Linked DNA regions of Macaca mulatta. The protein of the gene in region 3 interacts with the protein of the main gene of each other region in a biochemical or structural test. Links are inferred from orthologs where the notes say so. Each region holds a gene or a part of one and is shown on either strand. Other genes may lie near its edges.

Evidence for each region.
Region 1: of the proteins of NEDD4 (region 3) and AKT1, one has a biochemical effect on the other in vitro, tested with the Homo sapiens proteins (3 studies listed by BioGRID, with this or other methods). The link is inferred for Macaca mulatta from reciprocal best matches to the Homo sapiens genes NEDD4 and AKT1.
Region 2: of the proteins of NEDD4 (region 3) and SQSTM1, one has a biochemical effect on the other in vitro, tested with the Homo sapiens proteins (2 studies listed by BioGRID). The link is inferred for Macaca mulatta from reciprocal best matches to the Homo sapiens genes NEDD4 and SQSTM1.
Region 4: the proteins of NEDD4 (region 3) and HNRNPUL1 form a complex in vitro, tested with the Homo sapiens proteins (2 studies listed by BioGRID, with this or other methods). The link is inferred for Macaca mulatta from reciprocal best matches to the Homo sapiens genes NEDD4 and HNRNPUL1.

Annotation. Positions count from the first base shown.
Region 1 is NC_133412.1:178,232,774-178,236,933, reverse strand, and holds the start of AKT1 (RAC-alpha serine/threonine-protein kinase), read left to right. Parts: upstream 1-1,360; 5' UTR 1,361-1,374; intron 1,375-1,581; exon of another isoform or gene 1,582-2,060; intron 2,061-2,513; exon of another isoform or gene 2,514-3,161; intron 3,162-3,538; exon of another isoform or gene 3,539-3,718; intron 3,719-4,120; 5' UTR 4,121-4,160. UniProt on the Homo sapiens protein: AKT1 is one of 3 closely related serine/threonine-protein kinases (AKT1, AKT2 and AKT3) called the AKT kinase, and which regulate many processes including metabolism, proliferation, cell survival, growth and angiogenesis.
Region 2 is NC_133411.1:188,804,053-188,808,051, forward strand, and holds the start of SQSTM1 (sequestosome-1), read left to right. Parts: upstream 1-1,199; 5' UTR 1,200-1,296; intron 1,297-1,879; coding exon of another isoform or gene 1,880-2,375; exon of another isoform or gene 2,376-2,652; intron 2,653-2,741; exon of another isoform or gene 2,742-2,979; intron 2,980-3,999. Other genes in the region: MGAT4B (alpha-1,3-mannosyl-glycoprotein 4-beta-N-acetylglucosaminyltransferase B), read right to left, coding at 1,880-2,375. UniProt on the Homo sapiens protein: Molecular adapter required for selective macroautophagy (aggrephagy) by acting as a bridge between polyubiquitinated proteins and autophagosomes.
Region 3 is NC_133412.1:33,224,973-33,229,180, reverse strand, and holds the start of NEDD4 (E3 ubiquitin-protein ligase NEDD4), read left to right. Parts: upstream 1-1,408; 5' UTR 1,409-2,421; coding exon 2,422-3,969; intron 3,970-4,208. UniProt on the Homo sapiens protein: E3 ubiquitin-protein ligase which accepts ubiquitin from an E2 ubiquitin-conjugating enzyme in the form of a thioester and then directly transfers the ubiquitin to targeted substrates. Specifically ubiquitinates 'Lys-63' in target proteins.
Region 4 is NC_133424.1:52,406,366-52,410,471, forward strand, and holds the start of HNRNPUL1 (heterogeneous nuclear ribonucleoprotein U-like protein 1), read left to right. Parts: upstream 1-1,306; 5' UTR 1,307-1,392; coding exon 1,393-1,687; intron 1,688-1,861; exon of another isoform or gene 1,862-2,055; intron 2,056-4,106.

The sequences.
Region 1 (4,160 bases), about 150 Mb from region 3:
GGCTGCAGACTCTGTCCTGAGCACTGGGCCGAACCTGCTGCCTCTGTCTACATCTCCTCCCACCCCCTCCCCTGCTGCCAGCTGAAGTCACTCAGGCTGAAAATAAAAATGCTCCCCCCACCCCAATACTTAGCCTCAGGAAGGTTAACTCACAAGAGTCCCTCTTTCACAAAAGGGTTATTATCAACTGTGGGCCTCTGGAATGGGGGAGGGGCAGTTGTTGGAGGAACTTCTGGCTGGGAAGGGGTCGGGGTGGCAGTCACCTGCATCGTCCTGTGAGTGTGCAGGAGAAGGGGGTCTATGTCCCATTCACTCACTCCATACTGGGGCCATCTGCCTCCCAGTGGACTTCGGACTGGGTGTCGGGGCTGACCAAGTCCACCCAGCAGGGAGGGTCCTGGGCTCTCAGCTGTCACAGCCCACCCTAGACACCGCTCCTCCTCTGTCTGGTGTCTGCTCCCAGCTCAAGGTGGGACCCAGGCAAGGTGTGCCCCTCTTCTCCCACTCCCCAGCAAAGTCTCCCTTTTGTGAGTGTAGCTGCCAGTACCTAGGTGAATGGTTGAGTCCCCTCGGAGCCTTCCCGCTCCTTGGAGGCACACCTCCAACTGACCTCCGCACTTCCCCCAGAGGCACAAGGTCCTGGGATTGGGCCTTTTAGGACACTCTTGGCCGTCCCCTCCACGCCCCCCAGAGTGGGGCAGTGCATAGGTGGGGCACGGCCTGAAAGTCAACCTAACCCACCCCCGCCCCGCGCAGTGGAGGCAGAAGTCCGGGATTCGTCCCTGACCGGTCTCGGGCCTGGTCTAGTAGGGTCAGGGCAGAGCGAGTCCAGAAGCGCCGGGTCACTTTACAGATGGGGAAACTGAGGCCAGAGAAGGCGTGGCCCCGGGACGGGCTGGCTGGTGGCCGGGCTCCGTTAGCGGCCCAGCCCAGGCCCTAGGCCGCCGGGGGCCGCCCCTCAGCCCAGCCGCGCGCTTCCCGGGCGCGCTCCGCCCTCGCCGCGGGCCCGGGCGGCCGCGCGGTGGGGACGCCCCGGGCGGCGGAGGCGGATGTGGGCGGGCGGCTCCGGGCGCGGGGCGGGCGCGGGGCGGGGAGAGGGCGGGCCGGCGGCGGCGGCAGGACCGAGCGCGGCAGGCGGCCGGCCCAGCGCAGCCAGCGCGGCCCGAAGGACGGGAGCAGGCGGCCAAGCACCGAGCGCCGGGCACCGGGCACCGAGCGGCAGCAGCACGCGAGGCCCGGCCCCGAGCAGCGCCCCTGCCCGCCGCGGCCTCCAGCCCGGCCCCGCCCAGCGCCGGCCCGCGGGGATGCGGAGCGGCGGGCGCCGGAGGCCGCGGCCCGGCTAGGCCCGCGCTCGCGCTCGGACGCGGCGGCCCGGTGAGTCCCCGCCCGCCGCGGCCGCCCGGGCCCGGATTTCCTCCCCGCGGGCCGGGCCGCTTTGTTCCCGGCCGGTCGGGCCGGGGCGCGAGCCGCGGCGCCGCCAGAATGGAGGAGCGGGAGCAGGAAGTGGCCGAGCGGGCCTGGGCGGGGAGGGCGCGGGGCGCGCGGGCCCGGCCAAGGGAGGGCGGCCCCACGCCGGGCGCCAGGGGTGCAGGCTGCCGGCCCCAGCCTCCCTCATGACCTTGGGGAGGCCGCTCCACCCGGCGAGGCCGGGGCCCGGGAGAAGGGGCGCTGCCGGGCCTGGGGCTGGGGCTTGGGGTGCCCCTGCGGGCCGTGGGGCTCCCCGGGCGTTGGGCCAGCGAGACAGCCGGCGGAGGTGCCCCGGGGTTAGGAGAAAGGCTCGCCGCGGCCGGCCTTCAAGTTTGTGGGAGGGCCCCGGAAGGAGACTTCATTTCCCACGGACAAAAAGTTGTACGTGGTGGCGGGGTACCCAGGCTAGCCACAAAGGACTGACCCTCCTGGGCCCCGGAACTGCTTCCTGTCTTGGGTGGGCCCTGGAGGTCCTGCCTGCTCGTCCCAGAGGCCGAGGCTTAGAGGGCAGCTGGGGCTTGCCCCTTAGATTGAGTATCCTGGGGCGCTAGCGAGCCTTGGTCCTGTCGGGACGGCCCCTGAGTGCTGCTGTGGTAAGCGGGGTTGGCTTGGGCCCCTGCTCTGTAGCCAGAGGCCGCCCCACATTCACTCCTGGGTCTCTTGGCCTTGCTCCAGGTGGCCACTTCTTGACTGCTTTGAGTCCCTCATCCAAGCAAAGGGCGGAGTGCATTGGTGGAGGCCCGGTTCCCTCTCCCCGGAGCTGTATAGACTTCTCATACACCAGGGTTCTGGAGGCAGATGGAGGAACCCTTTCGAAACACAGAGTATTTTTTTTTTTTAAGTTGTGACTTAAATAATAACAGCAGCAAGAATATGTGCTTATGGTAAAGGCAGGTGGCAGGTACGGAGGCTGTGGGAAGTTGGGGTCCCTCCGCCTCCACAGGCAGCCCTGTACTGGCCTGGTGTATATGTTTCTGTGCAGACGTACACCACCCTGTGTGTGCACAGATGTATTTTTACACATGGCTCTGGACAGCTGTCTGACTCTGTCAGCAGCAGGCCTTGGAGGGACGCAGGCCCTGGTGGGGGGTGGGGGGACATCCAGAGGTCTTTGAGTCCAGCCCTCTGCCTCCAGGCCACGCCCACTCTGTCGTCAGAGCCCCCTGTGCCTGAGGCGTGCGCGGCTGGGAGCCCTGCCCTCCTCAGGTCTGGCCTGCTTTCCATCCTGCTGAGTACTTGGGGCATTTCCCTCTTTGAGCAAGGTGTAGTCTTCCCTGTCCTGGCATTAGACACGAGGCAGTGGGCCTTCCTGCCATTCTAAATGTAGCTTAAGACAGTCAGTGCAAAGCACCCCTCTGTGGGTGTCCAGCCCAGGCCTCAGGAGGCCAGAAAGGTTGCCTGGCGGGAGAGCATCTTGGCTGACTGTGGAAAGACCCATGTTGGGGTCCATTCCACAGAGGTCGTCAGGTATCTCTGCCTGGCCTGGAGGTCCCAGAGAGGACCCTCCTCCCCTCAGGAAGGCCCGTCTGGAAGGGTAGCAGAGGACTGCTCACAGGAAGAGCATGCCAAGTGCTCTTTCTCGGGATGCCAGGAGTTGGTGATGTGGGAACTGGGTTTTGAGGGATGCCTAGGAGTTCATCTATCAGAGGGGAAATGAGGAAGCCATGCAGGATCAATGGATAAAGTGTGCTCAGGTGAGGGCTGGCTGGTGGGCCACTGCAGGGTAGGGGCCTGTCCAGTGCTCCCCCACTTACTTGCTGCCTCCCGACTGCTGTAATTATGGGTCTGTAACCACCCTGGACTGGGTGCTCCTCACTGACCGACTTGTCTGAACCTCTCTTTGTCTCCAGCGCCCAGCACTGGGCCTGGCAAAGCCAGAGACGCCTGGTACACGTTGGCCAAATGAATGAACCAGATTCAGACCGGCAGGGGCGCTGTGGTTTAGGAGGGGCCTGGGGTTTCTCCCAGGAGGTTTTTGGGCTCGCCCTGGAGGGCTCTGGGCTGCCGTTTGCGCCAGTGGCCTGTATCCTGGTCCAGTCTTCTTCATGTTTGAATTTCTTTGCTTTCCTAGTCTGGGGAGCAGGGAGGAGCCCTGTTCCCTGTCCCAGGATCCATGGGTAGGAACACCATGGACAGGGAGAGCAAACGGGGCCATCTGTCACCAGGGGCTTAGGGAAGGCAGAGCCAGCCTAGGTCAAATAAGTCTCAAAGGGACTGCCTGGAGGAGGCAGCCTGTCAGCTGGTGCATCAGGTTAGGCAGGCTGGGAAGGCCTTTTGGGGATGGGGATGATTTGTCCAAAGGCTCAGGGAGGTGGGAATGGGGAGGTGAGCAAGGCAGCAGCTCTCAGGGCCAGGTTGTTGAGGGGAGTGGTGGCAGGGGCTGGGGACTCAGCCTAGAATGAGGAGAGGCCCAGGTCCAGGGAACTGTGTTCAATTACGTGGATTTTACACTTGGCAGCTATGAGTGTTTTGGGGGGAGGTAAGGCAGGCCGGCAGTTGGGGGTCAGAGAGCCTAGAGGGATGGCAGCCCACCTGGGAAGGCAGGTGCAGGTGGAGCCCCCAGGCACGTGCAGTGGGTCTCCGACTCACCCTGGGCGAGGAGCTTCCCTTAGCCTGGCATGGCCTCACACTCAGCTTCCTTTGCTTCTCCCAGAGGCTGTGGCCAGGCCAGCTGGGCTTGGGGAGCGCCAGCC
Region 2 (3,999 bases), on a different chromosome or scaffold from region 3:
GGGAAAAGGAACAGGATCAGAGGGGCATGGGCAGGTATCAGGCCGTTAACAGTCTGCTGTCACCATGCATGTGTGCGGCAGATGTCTGTCTCCTCTCCAGACCCTGCACCCTCCCAGGAGTCAAGGAGGGTGTCTGTCATTGCTGAGGTCCAGGCCTGGGGAGGAGGACAGCCTGGAGGCTGGGAGAGCTGTGTGGCTGAGACCCTGGGCCACCCGCAAGGGTCTGCCTCCCTGGGCAGATCCTCAGCAGGTGCTTGGCTGAAGGCCACAGTTTGAGTGCTGGCAGAGCTGCTCCACAGGCCAGATATGAAACTGGGCCCCAAACCCTTCTCCAGGGTCCATTTTGCATTAGTCTAAAGAGGCCGTCCTGGGCTTGACCTTGGGCTTCCAGGATGACGCCCGCACCTGCTGTCCTTCCTCTCTGGTTCCCTGCCCATCTCCTTCCTTCTCTGCAGATTCCACTTCCTGGGTTCTTCCCTCAAGTTCCTGGACCCCCGCTGGCTGCAAAGTGGAGGCCAGGTTCCAATTTGGCCTCAGACTGGCTAAGCCTGGTTTCGCCAGGGGCTTAAGACAGACTTTCTACATGTGACAATGAGATGGGTTCACATAATAGCCTGGATTCCTAGCTTCACTGAGTCACCACAGAAACAGTGACAGCCCCTCAACAAGGCAGGCCTAGGTCACCCCCTACTCATGCCTCACAGGATCCTTAGGCTTCCCTCCCCTAGGGGCTGGGTCCTTGAATCTAAGCGCTCCCCTTCTTAGCTCTCCTGTTCCCCAGGCCCTCAAAGAGCCAGCCTCCCGGATGCCCCCACGGAGCCAGCGCCTCTCCCTCACTCTGCTGTCCCGGAGACTGGCTCCCTGTGGTAAGCCAGGCTTGCAGAGGTGGCTCCTGACATCAATCTGGCGGCATGTGGCTGCTGTGGGAGACACACACTGGCTGAGGACAAAGGGCAAGGGCTCATGGCTCTACCCACGACTGGAAGAGTGTGCCCCAGCCCTTCAGATAAGGCCCCACCTAGGCCTTCATGCCAGTCTGCTAGTCACCCTGCCAAGGACCCAGAATGTCCTTCCCCAGGTGACACACCCTACCTACAGATAATTCTGCCCCAGTCATGCCTGCCCTTGATAATATACGCCACCACCGGGGCCTCTGCCCCAGCCCTCCCTCCCCTGTCCTGCAGTCTCCCCGCAGAGTCCCTGGGTGATGGGGCTCTGGCCCTGGAGCCCCAAGGCCAGCCCAGGCCTCTGCTCTGACAGAACAAGTGCGGCAGGCGGGCGCGCTGGCAGAGCTCGGTGAGGGTAGCTGAGGCTCGGAAGGTCCGGAAGGGTCCAGGTCCTCCCAGCCTCCTCAGCCTCTCTGGGGTGGCGCTCCGGGACAGGGAAACAGGGAAGCAGGTGGCAGGGAGGCCAAGGGGGCAGGTAGCCTCAGCCCGCTTAGGCCTCCAGCAGGCAGGCAGGCAGGAGGCCACTCTCCCAGAACCTCCAGGCTAGGGGAAGAGCGCCTCGGAGGGCTCAGGCCCTACTCGGCCCCACCATCGCCAAGACCGGTCAGGGGGGCGGGGGGCGGGGGGTCGGTCTGCACCCTCCGCCTGCAAGAGCGCTGGGCGGACGCGGAGGGCGGGGGCCAGCCCGGGAAGCTCGGGGTGCGGGGGAGGGGCTGGGGCCGCACAGGAGCGCAGGGCAGCAGTGGCCGGGCTGGCTCAGGACGCCTCTCCCTCCCTCCCCCGCTCCCATAGGCCGGATGCTGCCGAGGCGTTCCGGGCGCCCGGGGGTCGGCGAGGGAGACCCAGGACCGGGTGTCACGCCGGGGTCGCCCAGGCCGGCGCGGGGCTGCGGGAGGCAGGGTCGGGGGAGGGCGGGTGGGGGGATGCCTGACCGCCTAGCGGTGCCCTCGCGCCTGTGTCCCTCACGCCGGCCCAGGTCCTGCCCAAGTGGCTGTGGCTGGCGTTCCGGGACCTCTGTGACCTTGGGTCTGTGCCGAGACCCCCACGGGTCCCCAGCTCAGCTGCGCCCGCGGAGTCCGGTCCGGGGCACCCACGGGCGCGGCCAGCGCTGGGCGGGCAGGCGCAGCCCGGGCCCGAGGAGGACGCCGCGGCTCCAGCAGCAAACAAGTGGGGGAGGGTGGGAGGGGCGTCCTCCGCGCCGCCCGGGCGGGGAAGGGGCGCCTGCGTCGGCTTCCGGCCGCCTCCCGCGGCCACCGCCGGGCCCGCTCCCGCCGCCGACGCCCAGGTGCGCCAGGTGCGGGCCGGGCCGGTCGGGCGGGGGTCGCGCTTACCTTTCTGGCCGCTGAGTGCCGCGTACCAGGACAGCGAGAGGAAGGCGCACAGGCAGAAGAGCAGCAGCGTCAGGAAGGTGCCATTGCGGAGCCTCATCTCCTCCGATGCGCGGCGGGCGCCCGCGGGGCCGAGGCTGCATGGCCCGGGGAACCGGGGCCGGGGCGCAGGGGTCGGAAGGCGGCGGCTGCAGGGGCCCCGGCCCCGGGGCGGGGAGGGGCGGGGGGGCCGGGGCCGGGCAGGGACCGGGCCGGGGAGCGCGCCTGCCGCTTCTCAGGGCGCAAGCTTTGTGCCCTGTACTCAGGGAAAAGGAACAGGCTCAGAGGAGCAGAGGCAGATATCAGGCTCACTGCAGGTATCAGGGGCGCGGGACACTGGCGGCCTCGCCTCCGCGGCAGGGCCGGGCCAGGCCGGGCTGGGCTGGGCTGGGCGGCGAGAGCCGCGGCCCGGCCTGGATCTGGGGCCTGGATCTGGGGCCGCCGCGGAGTCGACGGCGCAGGGCGGGGCGGCCCGGATTTAAAGGGGCCGCAGCACCGCCGCCGCCAGCGCCGCGAGGGGCGGGGTGGGGGCCGGCGCCCGTGATCCCGACCGGCTCCCGCAGCCCCGCTTGGGCTCGTGCGAGTCGGCCTTAGGTAAGGCCGGAGTGGGAGTGCGGGTCGACCGCAGCCGGCGCGGGCGGCGGGGGCGGCGCTCTCGGGCCCAGGTACTCTTCTCGGCAACATCTCCTCCGCGCGCGGACCCCGACCCCACTCGCACGTTCTCTGGGCTGTTTCCCGAGCGTGAGGGGCTCTGGGTGGCGCGGGGGACTGGGCGCTTGGAGGGGACTGGGCGCTTGGAGCCGGGAGCCACCGTTGCCTTCGGCGCCGCCCAGGGCGCTTTCCCGCTCAGGAGCTTCCTCTGGGGCGCGGGACTGAGACGCACAGGGGCCCGGGAGGCGGGAACAATGGGCCGTTCTAGGGGGAATCAGGGCCAATGCTCGTGGGTGCAGAGGAATGACCAGCCCAGAACCGGACCGGCTTCCCGGGACAGTGGCGGCCCAAGCGCGCCGCTTACGGGAGCAACGGGCCCTGCTCCCGGTGGTGCAGCGGCCACCTCGCCCCGCGCAGCCCAGCCGGCTCTTGATAGGGGCCCACGCCTTCGGATTTTTGTGGGTTTTTTTTTTTGAGACAGAGTCTCGCTCTGTCGCCCAGGCTGGAGTGCAATGGCGCGATCTCGGCTCACTGCGATCTCAGCCTCCGGAGTAGCCGGGATTACAGGCGCCCGGCTAATTTTTTTTCTTTCTTTTTTTTTTTTTTTAAGACTTTGGGCAGCGCCTGGCCCGCTCCCAGCTTGGACCTCCCAGTCCTAGGGGCCCGGTTCCGGGTGGAGGCTGCAGGGACCTCTGCCCCGCCCGCTCGGGGGAGGCCTGAGGGGCTGGACTCAGACTGGGAGTGAATGCAGCTTTGTCTTCCTAGTCCAGCCCCGGCCCACACCTGGGGCTGGGTGGAATCGGGAGCTTCTACGGGTCTGGACAATTCTCCCACAGAGAGATTGATGCCAAGAAGTGGGTGGCCGAGCCAGAGGCCGAGGTGGGCTGGATCCTGAGGCCCAGTGTTAAAGGACAGGGCTCCCCATTCAGTGCTCCTGGAACATTCCGAACTAGAGACTGGGACTTGTAGGCGCCTTCTAGAGGAAACTCGTGTTTTCACAGGTGTCTTCTATGTGTGGCAAAGGATAATGGCTT
Region 3 (4,208 bases):
CCTGTGGTGACACCATCCATCCATCCAGACTTCTCTCTGGTGTCTCTTGGTACTTACTTTGTGCCCAGGACAAGCTCAGGAGCCTCAGAAGAACCGTGTAGTTACGGTCCATGCCCTCCGGAAAGTTAAAATCTAGTTAGGGGACATGGAACTGATGCTTATAGTGAAGCTTATCAAAGAGAAGACATTTATCTGGCCAAATACTTGGAGCTCATTATTTTATATGTTAATAATCAGAGGAGCTTTTCTTATTTCCAGGAAGTTGTAGGCCACAGGCACGAACAATTAGATCTCATTGATTAGCCTATTAGAAGGGATTCATTCTTTGAGTTATTAGACCCCACACTTAATCCCAGAAAGCAAGCTGAAGTCATTTGAAGGCAGAGTAAAACAGGACTCCTCCTTATTTAAAAGAAAAAGATGTTAAGGGAATATTGACTGAAGTCTGTAAAATCTTAAAGGAGATAGGTTATACAAAACCAAAATAACATCATAATTGTATTACTAAATTTCCAATTATTGTACACATTTGAAAACACAATGATGTTTCATTCTAGTCAAATATAATTCAATAAATTCCCATAATTCTATTTTGTTGTGTCTTAATTGATTAAATATCTGTTTAGAAAATTCTGATCGAAAACAGATGTATCTTAAGCAGTTTTTTTAAAACAAAGTATATGTTTTACATATTTGCTTTTACTTAGGAAAAAAAACTTACTTAGAAAAATACAACTTGGGTGTAGTAGCATGTGGTATAAACAACGGAACTATTTTACCTTTTACTTTCCTATGAATGAGCCAGTATATATTTATTACTGGAGTTCCAGCTATAAAATTTAGGTAAGGGGTTTAAATATACCCTAGAGTATTATTTAAAAATAAATTTGTTTCTTTCAAATAGAATACCAACCTTGGTCTATGGCATTTGGGAGAGAAATTAAAATATTAAATTTTTATTACCCAGTAAACTGAAAATAAAGGTTAAATAAATACAAAGCAGAAAAAATATATACAAAATCACAACCTCTAAAAGGACAAACAGTCCACTGTTCTCTACTGTGGAAGCTTTATCAGCACTGCTGAGTAATTCCACCTCTAGGGCAGGGCTAGCTCTCAAAAATATAAACAAGTATGTACTTTGTTTATATAAAGAAATGTACAGCTTGGTTTGTATTTCTTTATAGATATCAAACAGCTAAATGGATTGTTTCAAAGCACCAGCAGGGGCCAGCAAAGAGCTCTTAGAGTTTTTCAGAACAGAATTGGCATTGAGATATGTTTATTTGATGTGTTAAATCCTTTTTAGACTTCTTTACTTACCACAACACTCTGTTAAGTGAATGAATTGCAGAGACAGTGGAATAAAATATCCTATGTGTTCAAACTATCTTGGAGTATAGTTTTCTTTTTTCTAATCTGCATATATTTTTATTGGAATGTTTGCTTAGGCTATTTCTTGGCAGAGTTTTAATAGTCAAAATATAAATGGCATCATTTAAAGACTGTTCTACTTGGCTGGAAAAGGCCTTAAAATTACAGGAGAAAATGCTTAGTGACAGCTTCTCTTAAACTTTTTTTCTCGAACCTATGCTTCAGTTTTGCAATGGTATTACTAGGTTAATTTTGTAGTTCTGTCCTTAAGCTTTCACTTTTTATGTAATTAGCACTTTAGAAGCTAAAATATGTATCTGTTTGATGTAGTGCTAAAGTTTTAATTCATCCTAAAGTTTTGGTATTTCCAAATTTACAGAACTGTTTGAATTCACAAATTAAAAAAAAAAAAAATGAACAGTCCCTATATTAACTAACTTGACTAGATTCCTAGTATGACTACTATTTGGAAATTCAATCTTTGATTTGATACTTAATTACATGGGGTTTCGTTCCTACCAACTTCCTGTAATTCTATACCTATGGGTAAAAATATTAGTGGTCAAAGTTGGCTGGAGAAAGTATAGGCACTGCGATTCACATAGTTAAATGTTCATTTAGTAGAGCTGGGGTGAAAAAATACTGTTTCAACATGAAATGTTAGAAGATTGTTGTTCTTGTGTTACTCATTCATGCAAATTGGAGAAGGTATAATTGAAACAAGGTTGGCTGTGTTTGAGTCAGTGTGCTGCAGCTGAGCTCAGCTTAAAGGTCGCTGGAAATCAAGTGCTTTATAAGTGAAGGCATTTTGACTACAAGCGATTCAAGACATTTTGGAAACGTCAGTCTCTGGAATGGGTCGTCTTTTTCTTCCTATGATATCTGGTATCTAATGTTTTACTTAGGATAAAGACTACTACTTAATAGCTCTTTTAGGCACCACAAATGATTTTTTCTTTTGATGCAGTGCAGCTGCTTCTAGCCTGTCTACGGACAGAGATCTTTGTTATGACTTTCAGCCCTTAACATGTTTGGAAATGAGAACAAATGGCACAAAGCTTACGATTGCACTTTGCAGCCAGAAGAAGCAATACTTACCCTTTGTCAGAAACCTCCGGAGATGACTTGGATAGCCATGTTCACATGTGCTTCAAGAGACCAACACGGATTTCAGCGTCTAACGTTGTTCAAATGAAGCTGACTCCCAGACAGACTGCACTAGCTCCGTTAATAAAGGAAAACGTTCAGTCTCAAGAAAGATCGTCTGTTCCCTCATCTGAAAATGTTAATAAAAAGAGCAGCTGTCTACAGATTTCACTACAGCCAACAAGGTACAGTGGATATCTTCAGTCTAGCAATGTCTTAGCTGATAGTGAGGATGCTTCATTTACTTGTATCTTGAAGGATGGTATTTACAGCAGTGCTGTGGTCGATAGTGAATTGAATGCAGTGAATGATGGTAACCTTGTAAGCAGTCCAGCCATTTGTAGTGGTAGCCTTAGTAACTTTTCAACCAGTGATAATGGATCTTACAGCAGCAACGGTAGTGATTTCGGGTCATGTGCAAGTATCACAAGTGGAGGTTCATACACTAACAGTGTCATCAGTGACAGTAGTAGTTATACGTTGCCACCAAGTGATGATACTTTTTTGGGTGGAAACTTACCTTCTGACAGCACCTCCAGTGGAATTGTGCCAAACAGGAATACTACTCCATGTGAAATTTTTTCGAGAAGTACAAGTACAGATCCTTTTGTCCAGGATGACTTGGAACATGGATTAGAGATTATGAAATTGCCAGTGAGCAGGAACACAAAAATTCCACTAAAACGTTGCTCCTCCTTAGTCATTTTTCCTAGGAGTCCTTCAAATACCCCACCGACTTCTCCAACAAGTCCATGTACTCTTCTGAGCAAAGGATCCTATCAAACTTCACACCAGTTTATTATTTCTCCTAGTGAAATTGCACATAATGAGGGTGGCACTGGTGCTAAAGGATTTCTTTCAACAGCTGTCAATGGACTTCGGTTATCTAAAACAATTTGTACCCCCGGAGAAGTAAGAGACATACGTCCGCTTCACAGGAAGGGCTCGTTACAGAAGAAAATTGTTCTTTCGAATAATACTCCCAAACAGACTGTCTGTGAAAAGTCATCTGAAGGATATTCTTGTGTTTCAGTGCATTTCACCCAACAAAAAACAACTACATTAGATTGTGAAACAACAAATGGTGATTGTAAACCAGAAATGTCAGAAATTAAGCTTAATTCTGATTCAGAGTATATTAAGCTCACGCATAGGACATCTGCATGTTTGCCATCCTCCCAAAATGTAGATTATCAAATAAATATCAATGGAGAATTGGAAAGACCAAATTCACAGATGAACAAAAACCATGGTATTTTACAAAGAAGTATTTCATTGGGAGGAGCTTATCCAAATATTTCCTGTCTATCCAGCCTTAAGCACAATTGTTCTAAAGGGGGACCATCTCAGTTACTCATAAAGTTTGCATCTGGAAATGAAGGTAAAGTGGATAATTTATCAAGAGACAGCAACAGAGATTGCACAAATGAACTGTCTAATTCTTGCAAGGTAAGTTTCCTTTGATCTTGGTAAATATTAATTTATACAAGAATAACTTAATGAAATATTTGGAGAAAATTTATTGTTATAACCAAGCAGTTTTATATATTTTCCTGGTCCTTAGCTAGCAGTACTTTGTAGTCATAAATTTTATATTTGTAAATCTGAAGAACCCTATGTATAGTTTTTTACTGTATTTGTTATTTTACCAGTGTGCAAAATGTGTATTTTTAAAAATCTTCCGAAGT
Region 4 (4,106 bases), on a different chromosome or scaffold from region 3:
TTGTTTACGTCTGCGGGGTGTGCCTTTGTCTAAGTAGAGATGGTGTGTGGCTTCTGCGGGCTTAACGTGTGGCTCAGGAGGCAGTGGGCGTCTGCATCATGTATCCCGATTGCGTCTTACTCGAGTTTTGTTTTCTGAGTTAGAGGCGACAGGTGGTGCAGCATTAGACACAGGGAAGCTCTGTGGCTTTTGTATTCATGAGCGCGAAGGTTAATGACGGATCCGTGGGTTTGAGCTTGTCAATACAGACGCCAGACAGCCCGATTTACGGGAACAGCCGATTAGAGGATTGGAGAGGGCGGTCGGTGAACTTCTGGATGTCTTTCGTAAGGGGAAGGCTCTATGGTCGCGTGCAGAGCGCCCGTTCCACGTCAGGCACCGACCATAGAGCAAGGCCGCCGCGGACTACCCAAGGGAAGGGGAGGCCGTGTCCTTTACAACTAGCCTCCCGTTGTTAGTCTAGTCTCTATAGTCAAACCTTCGGGACTCTCTAAAGTCAAAATTTTGCTTTTACTAAAGGCAACTGGGTTCCTTCCAGATTACGAACTGTATATCCACTTAATATCTATTTCGTATACCTCCTCCTACAGCGAAATTTGTGAGGCAGTCCTCTGAAGCACGGCCAATCTGGGGCATTTTTCCTAAAACGAGCCATCTCTACGCTTTAGTGAGCTAAGACAATAACTGCGATTGGTGGGCAGATTGTTTTGAAACCGCCCTAACGGCAAGGGGCGGGCCCCTGGTGAATTCATCTCTTTCCGGTTTCTTAAAGGCAACAGGAAGGAGGGGTTTCTGACGACCCTCCATTTGATTGGTTCTAGTGGTTTTACCCGCTCGGACTCCTCAAGGGGCGGGAGATATACACCAATCGGAATGTGTGTTACAGAGACACTTAGTTTGATGAAAGGACTGCGCAGGAAAGGCCGTCGGACGCTCATTCTGAGATCTCACCGCTGATTGGTCCAAAGGGTTACTCCCTTATTTTCATTGGGCTTTACTGCAGCCGGCGCGCGAGAGCTACCCAATCAGCGCACGCTCCGCCTCCTGCCTTTTCCCGCCCTCCGCTCCGGCCTCGGCTTCGACGTAGGCCAACGCTTCCTACCCGGTAGCTCGTAGGCCTTCTCGTTGCCGTTGTTTTGAAAACCGCACTCTGATTGGCTAGGTTTCCGGGCCCGCGCCCGTTGCCCCATGCACTGACCAATTGGCACTCGTATTACATCGGACGAGGCACGGGTGAAGGGGGAGGCGGTGGCGGCGGCCATTTTGAGCCGCCGCCGCCATTGGAGTGGGCCCCCCCCCTTTCCCCCTTCGCCTCCTGACAGGAAAGGTTTAAGGGGGACAGAGCCCTGGGAGGCCGGGCCGGGCTCGGGGGCCACCCCGGGGGCCCGGGCCATGGATGTGCGCCGTCTGAAGGTGAACGAACTTCGCGAGGAGCTGCAGCGCCGCGGCCTGGACACTCGAGGCCTCAAGGCCGAGCTTGCTGAGCGGCTGCAGGCAGCGTTGGAGGCCGAGGAGCCTGACGACGAGCGGGAGCTCGAGGCCGACGACGAACCGGGGCGACCCGGGCACATCAACGAGGAGGTCGAGACCGAGGGGGGCTCCGAGCTGGAGGGGACCGCGCAGCCACCGCCGCCCGGGCTGCAGCCGCACGCGGAGCCCGGCGGCTACTCGGGGCCGGACGGACATTGTGAGAGTGCGCGGGGCGGGGGCCGGGGAGCCCGGAGCCTGGGCCGAGGAAAGGGCTGTGGGACGCGGGAGTCCAGCGCCTGAGGTCGGGGAGACGACCTGAGGATCGGGGGATCCCGCTACCCGCCGCCGAAAAGGATCTGGGGACAAGGGCCCCGGCACGACCGGAGGGTGGATCCAGACGCTCGGTGCAGGGGGCACACTGGGGGAGGGGCCTCTGGGTTTCGGAGGTGAGGGACGGGGGTGGCGGGGAGGATTCCTTACCGTAGGGATCGGAGACCGGAAACTGGTTTCTGGAGCCGAAGAGAGTCGGAAGAACAAGAGGTTTTCCATTTGGGTTGGGAGGGTCTCGAAAATGGAGATCTTGGGGTTCGGAGCTCCTTGGGCTTGGCGGCCTGGCCAGCCCAGCGTGTGGGCTGCGGGGTGGGGAGCCGTGTTTCCAGGGTGGGGAAAGAATGTCCAGGTGTGCGGGGCTGCGAGAGTTTTGAGGAAGCAGAATCCTGGAGTATGCCGCTGGATGCGATCCTGGGAGTTCTCCTATTTGCTTCGGGGGTGGGTGGGTGAGGTGGAGGCGCTGGTGTCTGTGGCTGGGGAGGGTCTAATGGACTCAGTGCTTTGGAGTTTGGCTGGTGAGCATTTAGGGGCTGCGGGAGATTGAACGAGGGGGCACCCCCATCTCTCTTCCGGGGCTGGAAGGCCACCCTTGAAGCAGGCACAGCCTGGACATTTGGTGCTGGGAGATCTGGGGACTTTCTGGTTGGCTTCTAGAAGAGGTGTAGGGAGCCCTGGTGTCCAGAGGCTGGAGGGGGAGAGGATTTTTCCCTCAACAAAGGATCTGGGGGTCTAGAGCTAAGAAGACTGAGGACAAATAACTCTGAGGCTGCTGCTGAATGGTCTAGAGCTAACTGTGGGCTTTTTGGAGAACGGGGTAGCTGCGGGTGGGATGGGGGCAGATGAGTTGGTAACATTCCAAGTGGATGAAATATGTGGCAGGAGACAGAGGATCCTGTGTCCAGCACAGAAGGAGTATGTATCTGGCTTAGCGAATATGGGGAGGGGGGAGGCTGTAGGGAGCAAAGAGAAAGAAAACCTGTTGACTTCACTGGAGGCCTCAGAGTGGAGTGTGGGGAATGTTTCTGGACCTGAGCGTCTCCCAGAGATATGGTCGGTTCCCAGAAGCAGTTATTTGTGTACCCAGGGAGTGGGGGCCTTCAGCGGGAAGCACAGAACTCTGCATCAGCCAGGAGGTGTGACTCTGGGAATGGGTTCGGGTAGATCTGCGGTTGTCTGAGGAGAGGAAACCCTGGTATAGGACGGAGTGAATCTTCAGTTAGAAAAAAGCAACTTTCGGGCCGGGTGCAGTGGCTCACGCCTGTAATCCCAGCACTTTGGGAGGCCGAGGCGGGCGGATCACAAGGTCAGGAGTTCAAGACCAGCCGGGCCAACATAGTGAAACCCCATCACCCGTCTCTACTAAAAATACAAAAATTAGCCGGGCGTGGTGGTGGGCGCCTGTAGTCCCAGCTACTTGGGAGGCTGAGGCAGAAGAATCGCTTGAACCTGGGAGGGGGAGGTTGTGGTCAGCCGAGATTATGCCATTACACTCCAGCCTGGGCAACAAGAGTGAAACTTTGTCTCAAAAAAGGAAAAGGAGCTTGCTTTCTTTCTCTTTTTTAAAAATACAGATGGGGTCTCGCTATGTTGCCCAGGCTGGTCTTGAACTCCTGGGTTCAAGTGATCTGCTCACCTCAGCCTCCTGAAGTGCTGGGATTACAGGCATGAATCACTGCACCAGGCCTCAGGGCAGGTTTCTAGTAGGACTGGGAAATGGGGGGACTGGAAAGGTTAAGGAGTAAGTAGAAGGGATTCTGGCGTAAGAATTTGTGGAGTTTTTCCGAAAAGAGGGCACCATGGGACTTGGGGCTAAGGGAATGAGGACAGAAATGAGGTAACAGTGGAGACAAGATTTGGGATTGGCATTGGATACTTGTTCATAAGAGATAGAGTTTCCCGGAGGGAGATAACTCGAGTGTGGATTTGGGATAGGCAATGGCCTAGAGATTATCTAGGATCCAGGTGCTGGAAAGAGAACTTCCCATTGCAGAGACTTGTGAAGAAAGGAGTGGGCCTGTGTGTGTGTGTCTAGAGCAGGAGGGACCGTGGCAGGAATGCCTAGCAAGAAAGGGTAGTGGGGTAGTAGTTACCTGGTGGTCTGGCCAGAGAGTCGTCTCTGAGAGGAAAGCGAATTAGGTGCTTTGGAGCGTAGATTCTAGACTCAGACAGACTTCGTTTCAAATCTGGCTTAAAGATATTGGCAAGTCACTTCATCTCTGTGAGCCTGGTTTCCTTACGTGTAAAATGGGGTTAATCAACAAATAGTGTGTTCGCTCTAGCCCCCGGGGGTGTTATGAATGAAATCG